Linked DNA regions of Coturnix japonica. The protein of the gene in region 1 purifies or fractionates together with the protein of each later gene. This does not show direct contact. Links are inferred from orthologs where the notes say so. Each region holds a gene or a part of one and is shown in the gene's direction. Other genes may lie near its edges. The genes, in order: DOCK1 and ELMO1.

Evidence for each region.
Region 2: the proteins of DOCK1 (region 1) and ELMO1 purify together in Homo sapiens (affinity purification with western blotting; 12 studies listed by BioGRID and IntAct, counting the BioPlex papers as one, with this or other methods). This does not show direct contact. The link is inferred for Coturnix japonica from reciprocal best matches to the Homo sapiens genes DOCK1 and ELMO1.

What each region holds. Positions count from the first base shown.
Region 1 is NC_029521.1:29,236,766-29,240,679, forward strand, and holds the start of DOCK1 (dedicator of cytokinesis protein 1), read left to right. Parts: upstream 1-1,076; 5' UTR 1,077-1,192; coding exon 1,193-1,238; intron 1,239-3,914. UniProt on the Homo sapiens protein: Involved in cytoskeletal rearrangements required for phagocytosis of apoptotic cells and cell motility. Along with DOCK1, mediates CRK/CRKL regulation of epithelial and endothelial cell spreading and migration on type IV collagen.
Region 2 is NC_029517.1:42,476,091-42,479,904, forward strand, and holds part of ELMO1 (engulfment and cell motility protein 1), read left to right. Parts: intron 1-2,037; coding exon 2,038-2,088; intron 2,089-3,326; coding exon 3,327-3,449; intron 3,450-3,814. UniProt on the Homo sapiens protein: Involved in cytoskeletal rearrangements required for phagocytosis of apoptotic cells and cell motility. Acts in association with DOCK1 and CRK. Was initially proposed to be required in complex with DOCK1 to activate Rac Rho small GTPases.

The sequences.
Region 1 (3,914 bases):
CCCCTAAGATCATCAAGTCCCATGACTGCCTACCCCTAAACTACATCCCTAAGTGCCATGTCCAGGGATAGGGACTCCACCACCTCTCTGGGCAGCCTGTTCCAAAACCCAATTCTTTCTATGAAGAAATTCCTCCTGCTATCCAATCTGAACTTCCCCTGGTGCAGTTTGTGGCCATGCAGGACTTGTCACTAGAAATAACTACTATTTCTGCACTGATTTTCCATTTCACTCCCCTTTTGCTTGCCTTACAAAGAAGTTATAAAGACGACTACAGCAACAGGACGAGTATGCCCATTATCCCAGTTAATTCACTTTGATTTATCTTATGAAAAATAAACCTGTTAAATCAAAGAGCTCTGTTGTAAGTTGTCTTTGGTAAGACTCTCATCATTTACTCATTAATGCAGGATAAAGATGATAAGCCAGGCAGCTGACTTGGAGAATCTTTTGATCTCTTCACTCCAGGACATAATGTGGGAAAGTGCAAAGGTTGGATTTATCACAGCAGCCCTTGAGTTCAGTAGGACAAGAGCAATGAAATTCAGGTTAGTTTGAACTTGCAGGCAGTGACCTGGGCAATGGATCCCAAAGATGGGAAAAGGGAAGGTTTGTAGAATGAGGTGTAGCCTCATTCAGATGTTGGGGATCAAGTATTTGGCTCCAAGCCTGGTGATAACGAGTGCTGTTGTATACAGTGACCCTACATGCCCTGTGATACCAGGAGTTAGTGCAGCATCTCTGGGCGCTGACCAGGCGGGGAACACGGCAGAAACCAAAGTAACCAACACTTCGACGTTGTTTGGAAGAGTTGGGAAGCGGTCCGGTGTGATAAAGAGGAACACGCTGCTTTATACAGAGCCGGTTCTGAGTGGGACCGATGCTTTCCTGCACAGTGAGGCCGGGATACCCTCAGCTCTGGAGCTGCCCGGCTCTCCATAGCGGAGCCGCTGGGTCCCGTCCGGGATGGGATCAGCGCTCTGCACCCCCCCGGTTCTCGGCCACGAAGGCGGGGCCGGCTCCGCCGTGCAGGGGCTGCCCAGTGCCGGCTCCCCCCGGCCGGGCCGTGCCGCTGGCTCCGCCCGCACCACATGACTGCCGTCGGTAGAAACTTTTCCCGTCCCGCGGTTGGAAAATGGCGGCGTAGGAGCGGGGTTCTCGCATCCCCGCCCGCTCCGGCCGCCCCAGCGCCATGACCCGCTGGGTTCCCACCAAAAGGGAGGAGAAATACGGCGTAGGTGAGGACCCTCCCCGCCTCCCCTCGGGCTCCGTGCCCGCCTGTTGCGCTGCGGCGCTCCGCGAACTAAGCGGGGATCCCCCCCACGCTCTGCTCCGGGCCGGGGGCTGCGCTGGGCCCGGCGGGGCCGCAGCTTCCAGGTGGGATCTGCGGGGCGAGAGCGGAGCCCCGGGGCTGCTCCATAGGGCTGCTCCATAGGGCTGCTCCCCAGCGCTTCTATCCCGGCCCTCGGCCGCCCTTCCCGCAGCTGCCGGCCGGTGGAGTTGAGGAGTTAGTGCGGGAGCGCGGCTCAGCCCGTACTCGAGTCGTCCTGGAGCAAAAAGTTCCAGCTTTGTGTGCTTTTTCCTCTCCCCTCACTCCGCCACGAGCACCACTCTCTCTGGCTTAGACGGGTTTCTCTTACCGGCCTCTCCCCGTGCCCCTCGATGTGCTGAGGTTTCCCCGCTGCTGCTGAGGATCCATGTCGCCCTCGGCTGTTTCCGTCCCCTGCACAGAGGAGGATTGTTCTCGGGCTGAGGCCCGGAGGGTGTTTCGTTGGGATTGAAAGTGTTTTGTAGGGATTGAGGAGGAGAAAAGCGGCAGGAGGGAATAACAAACCCGAGTGTTCCGTTGGGAAATAAGAGATGGAGTGTTTGCACTCCAGTGCAGTGTTGCACTGATGCTGAGATCAGTTGTGCATACCCACATTGTGAGCTGGTGTTGCAAAGCTGAGTGCACTGCAGGGCATGCAGCGTGTGTTGCAGGGTGATGCCTCACGCTGGAGGTGCTTTTTAGGGCAATAATATCCTAGAGATGCTTTGCTGTGTGAGAACAAGGCGTTATGGAGGCAGCTGAGTGTGGTGAGATAAAAGCTTTGGGTATCCAGTGTGGGAAGGTGCATTTGTAGAGAGTGAATGTAGGTATAATTAAAAACTAAAGTCTTTGATTTGTTCTGTGGCTTCATAGAGCACAGTTTTGTGTTGGGAGTGTGCTGGAGCAGTAACTCTTGAATGGGCTCAGGGTGCTCAGCAGAGGCTCCTCCTGCAATTCAGAAGTCGTGCAATGGAGAAAACACTGTTAAGGTGAACATCCTAATAAAGGAATGTTGTCTTCTCAACTGTTTGCCACAACCAGTGCTGGAGAATGACAGCAGAACAGTGGTGTATGACAGCAAACCAGCAATGCCTGCGTCCTCCAAGCAGGGCTGCTAATGGAGCTGCCATCCATCTCTGCAGGGCTGAGCTGATGGAGTGTGGGCATTGCACTGAAGAGAAGCAGCAATCAGCAGGAGGGTGTTGTTGGTTGTGGGTTATGCTGCTTACCTTGGGGGAGAGCAGAAGTGTATGTGTCTGTAAAAGCCAAATGTTTATATGTAATGCATATATAGCTTTTTTCCCCCATTAGATTAGCATGTTCCTGTGCACAACTCTTAACTTCTCAAGTCCTAAAGGCTGCTGGTGGCGATGCATGGGGAGTAAATTATGGAGACATTGGATGCAGCTGCTTGAGGAGATGCTCTTTCTGCTCAGCTCCCCCATCCCATCCCACAGTGCTGGGTTCCAGCAGCTCCTTCGTGCCCAGGATTCACGCAGGGAGCAGCACATAAGACTTATCTCTGAGGGCAGCCGTGAGCGTGACTCAGCTCTGCTTCCTGGTGGGGCTGTGAGCGTGGGGAGGCGGGATGAGGAATGGGTGGGGATGGAATAGCATGAGGGATGTATGAGATGAACACACAGGGAGCCTGAAAGAGGAAAATGAACAGCTGAATTGCAGATTTTCTGCACTCCTGATGCCGCTCATCTTTTTCTTTCACCATTGTAGCTCTGTGTTTTTGGCTCTCATCTCATTGTTGGGATGTGGCATGCTTGGGAATGGAGGTAGCTGTGTGGGTGCATGGCTTTCTCAGCAGGACCATCAGGAAGTCCAGGAGCTGTGTGTATCTGCTGCCTATCCCAGTTGGAGCTGTAGAGCTGTATTGAATGCATTACTTCAGGATGGCACCTGATGCCTGGAAGTGCAATGTCAGGTAGTAGGCCAATGGTAATGTTAAGTATATCAAAGATACCAGCATTGCTTGAGTAATTTGCCAATCTCTGACTGTCCATGTAGTGTGGATGCACTTCTGTGGCTCACCTGGTTGCTCTCTGGTTTTCCCCATGTAGACAGGGTAGTGCAGGTGCTTGAGGTGGTGTCTGCAGTTCTCAGTCCTCAACCAGCACCTGATAAGCCCAGGTAAGCAATGTCCTGAGTAAGATTTGTGTTTCCACACGTGCTTTTTGAAAACAAACAACTGTAACAACAACAAACCAACCCAGGAAGGAAACCAATTTTGCTGCAAGCTGCCTCATTTGGGACTTTTTTCCTTGTTACTGGTCAGTTTGGTTTGTTACGACGGGCAAATGATAACCTGCCTAATTTGGGATGCTTTGAAATAGGATGGACTTAGCCAGATTTTCAGGTCAGGATGTTGTAGTGCCAAAAAATATCCAGTATTTGTGGGTTGCTGGTGTGGTGACTGGGGGCATTTATTTTTAGCTGTAGCACCTTGGCTTTTGGCCCTCATTTGAAATATCCTGAGATAAGGGAGGTACCAGCCTCTATTCCAGCCTAATGAAAAGGTGTTGTGACAGTTGTGAGCTTCAGCTGTTTGTCTTTATTGCTAATCATTTCTCTGCTTCACAGCTGCAGGTGAAAAACC
Region 2 (3,814 bases), on another chromosome or scaffold:
CAAAATCTGTTTGATGCAAGGAGACACCCTCACTGCTGCCATGGTAGGGGACCTGGTATGACACGAGCGACTGCCTTGCACTTAAGAAAAGGATTTAAAGTCACACTGATATCTGTCTTTACTTTTTAATTTATTATTTTTTAAACACTTCCACCCCCATTTCTGTAATGCAAAAAACCAAGAGGTTTCAAGTTTTTAATGAGGCTTCTCTTGTTACCTTGCTTCCTCTGCCACTGTTAAGGACTAAATCATCTAGAAAAATACCCAGGTTATTTAAAAATGAGGAAAGAGAACTTTATATGTTAAAAAAGAGATGTTGTGCAGTGAAATGATACTGTGAATGTTTGAAGAGCTTCTCCCCCCGCCCCTTCAAACTGTCTGCATTTTCTCAGGGACACGTTTCTATGAGAAGTGAGGTGGCAACTTTTGTCATGTAATTTTTGTTCTCCTATGTTACTACAGTACTTGTTTTAGAGAAGACAGCTCATCAGCTGCTAAGAGCCATGCAGGTGTCTTGGAGACAAAGTTGGTTTTGCTATAGTAATAGGTTTTATGAATTCTTGATGCCCCTGTCATAGTTTTTGGTTCAGTGGACACAAATGATATTCTGGTAACAGCATCTTAACTTCCACATATACGAATCAAGTAACAGCTTTATTGTCTCCAAAAATTGAAGTGAATTTTCAGCTTCTATCTTGAATGCAGAAAAAAAAAAAGAATGCCCTAGCTCATAATTAGTCTGTCCATCTTTTTGCCGGGTATAGCTGCACAGTAACAAAGCTAGTCTGTGCTGTGTAACATGAGTTGTTTCACGTTCCTGGCACTCCCCCTGCAGTTCAGTTGGGCATTTCCATAGAGAATTGATGTGTCTGTATCATTCATTCTTCAGCTGTTATGTGAAGTTGAAACCAGCTTTGCCGGAAAAATAGGCTTAAAAACTATAAGCTGGGATTCTCTTGGTATTGGTCCCTTCTTTCTTCCTCGTTATTCCTCTATTTTGATGTGCTGGCGACTGTGCAGAATGATAATGCATTTTAAGAATGTTCTTAAGCAAGTGTCAACAATTATTTGCTGTGCTGTATTATGTAGGTCTGTGATACACTAACAGATCATTGATTAGACACATGAGGGTAAGGTTTGTTATTAGCTGTTTTACTCATGTAACGAGCAGCATCTAAATAGCAGAGTGCAATACGTTGCCCAAATTATCCAAATTCATTAGATGCATTGATATATGCAACATGTATGCTGGCATGTGTTCACACCCATGTATTCATGGAAAGCATGAAAGTTAAAGACAGGATATGTGCTTGTTAGGCATGATTGAGGAGACCAAGCTCTCATGCTTGATCAGTATAAAATACTCTCTCCTATGCATTTTAGGGTAGCTTGCAGCATGGACAGCCAAGGCCAGATGCCTGAGAGAGAAAGTCAAAACATATCCTGGTTGATAGAAACTTGACTGTTACTTCTAGAAAGAGAAACTAACTGAAGGCAAAACAGTGGACCAGTGCCAACACTGCTACTAACATACAGGGGAGAAGTATTAGTTACCGTGAAAAAACAGTGTTGAGCTGTAATCTAAAAATTAGAGAATGTGGCTTTGAAACAGCCAAAATATTAATATAAATGTGTGTGTTGTTTGATGTCTGGTTTTAAAGGCCTGACTGACAGATTGAAAGGTGCTCATGCTGTGTTGTTGAGGAGTGGGAGTTGTGAGGGAGTTGTGCTTGAACAGGTGTGTGAAGAAGCACTGTTTAACCCACAGAAGTCTCCTCTGAGATCTTATGTTGCTGTTACTGGATCACCAAAGTCTTCAGCTTAATAAACCTTTAACTTTCTTTGTCCCTTTTTCATAGCAAAGTAATCTTGAGTTTGTGGCACCAAAAATAACTCTTACAGTTGTAATTGATAAGCTGCTTCATTTTTCTTACAAGAAACACTGCAGAAACTTAAGACTAAAGCCTTATCAATTGGTATGTTGCTATAGGAATAGCACTAAAATACCTGTTTCTATTTTTCTTTTTTCTAAATCAGGAAATGGCAAACATTTTGGCACAAAAGCAGCTCCGCTCCATTATCCTAACTGTAAGTATGTAATTTTCAGCGTTACTTTTCACTAGCAGAGAGAAAAGCTGGATTGAGCTTTGATGTGCTTATGTTTTATCTTCATTGCTCTTTGCATTTTGATATATTTGGAAGCCTTTAATGTACAAGACAAAGATCTCATTATTGAATGGGTTCAAAACTAGTGATTAGAAAGGGTGTTTTTCAAGCCCAATAAATTCTTATTTCTTCATGACAGTACAATGCAGAATGAAAAAAACAGTATTTCAGGCAATTTCTTCCCATTGAGAATGTGAACTTGGCTGTGAAGTTTAGGGAATGTCTAAAGCATTTATAGTAAGTCCTTTGTGTTAGGTTTTAGACCTGATGAAAACCATGCAAGCCGCATAGGGCTTTACAGTTGCAAAATCAGCTTCTGTGTTTTTAGGTTCTAAAGGTGACTTTGTATCTTGGTATCAAGTTGCACACGATTTGTTGCCACTTGGATAAAGGAAGCGGGATATATAGCCCAGAGTGAAGTTACTGAATGGTCTATAAAGACTTACTTCAACTACCTTTGGAAGTCGTAGGGATTTTGACATCAACCTTAGCATAGATCAGTTCTGCAAAGGAATAATGTATAGTTCTTAAAAAGAGTGAGTTCAGTATCTGTTGTGAGTTAGTGGGCAGTATAAAGCAACACCAAACAGCAACAAACAAACATTTTCCCTTTTTCACTCTCTGTCGTTATTTTAGTGATACATGCAAAAGAAACAGCAACAACAAACTCACACACAAAAAACAGGAAATCTGTTTCCTAAGGCAGCATGTTTTTGCATTGCTTGTGATCATAAGAAATTTGGTAGAAGCATGTGGATAATATTCTTAAGTGTTTGTTTACTGTCATAAGATGCTACTTCAGTAGCCTTTGGCAGATAGTTTTTCTTTCTCTGAAGCTTCAGTGAAATATAGTTTCAACTGTTGTACTCATCTCCTTTTGACTTTCCTTATGTCTTCCCTGCTGTGTTTAGTAACCTGGGCCTGTTTCGCCTGTAGCTATTTGGTTTTAGGCACAACAGGGATTTTTAAACTATCCACTAGTTGGTAACTGCTTTGTGAATGGGGTAGTTCTGTATTGTATATGTAAGGTACTGTACACTAACACATTTCTAAGCCATATCCCTCATGTAGATCACAGTTGTGAAATGAAAATACCGGAGTCCAGCTAATGTGATTTTCTGATACAGTGGCATTCACTGCAGTCTTTCTTTCTTTTACAGCATGTTATCAGGGCACAGAGGGCCATCAATAATGAAATGGCGCATCAACTTTACGTTCTCCAAGTACTTACTTTTAACCTTCTGGAAGACAGAATGATGACAAAAATGGATCCACAGGATCAGGTAAGTGTCTGACATGATCTTATTAGAACAGGAAGAAGTCAGCTACTCACTGCTGTGCCTGAAGTTCTTTAGGGAAGAAAAGACACTGCCAGGAATGCCTGCACAATCTCTCTCTCTCTTTCAAGATGTGATGTTCGGTTTTGTTTTCTGTATGTCAAAAGATGAACTGGCTATTGTATTCCATGTACAGAAGTACAGCAAAATGGCCAGGCCTTTCTCTTTTTTATGTTGTTTCATGAACTGAATTTTTTTTCATCCTGAATTAAAGCTCTGAAGCAAAACTTTTCATTTTTATGCTTTTCAGAATCGACAGAGATGCGTAGTTCTTAAAAGTACTTCAATAGAGCAAAAAAGAATGTTTAAAT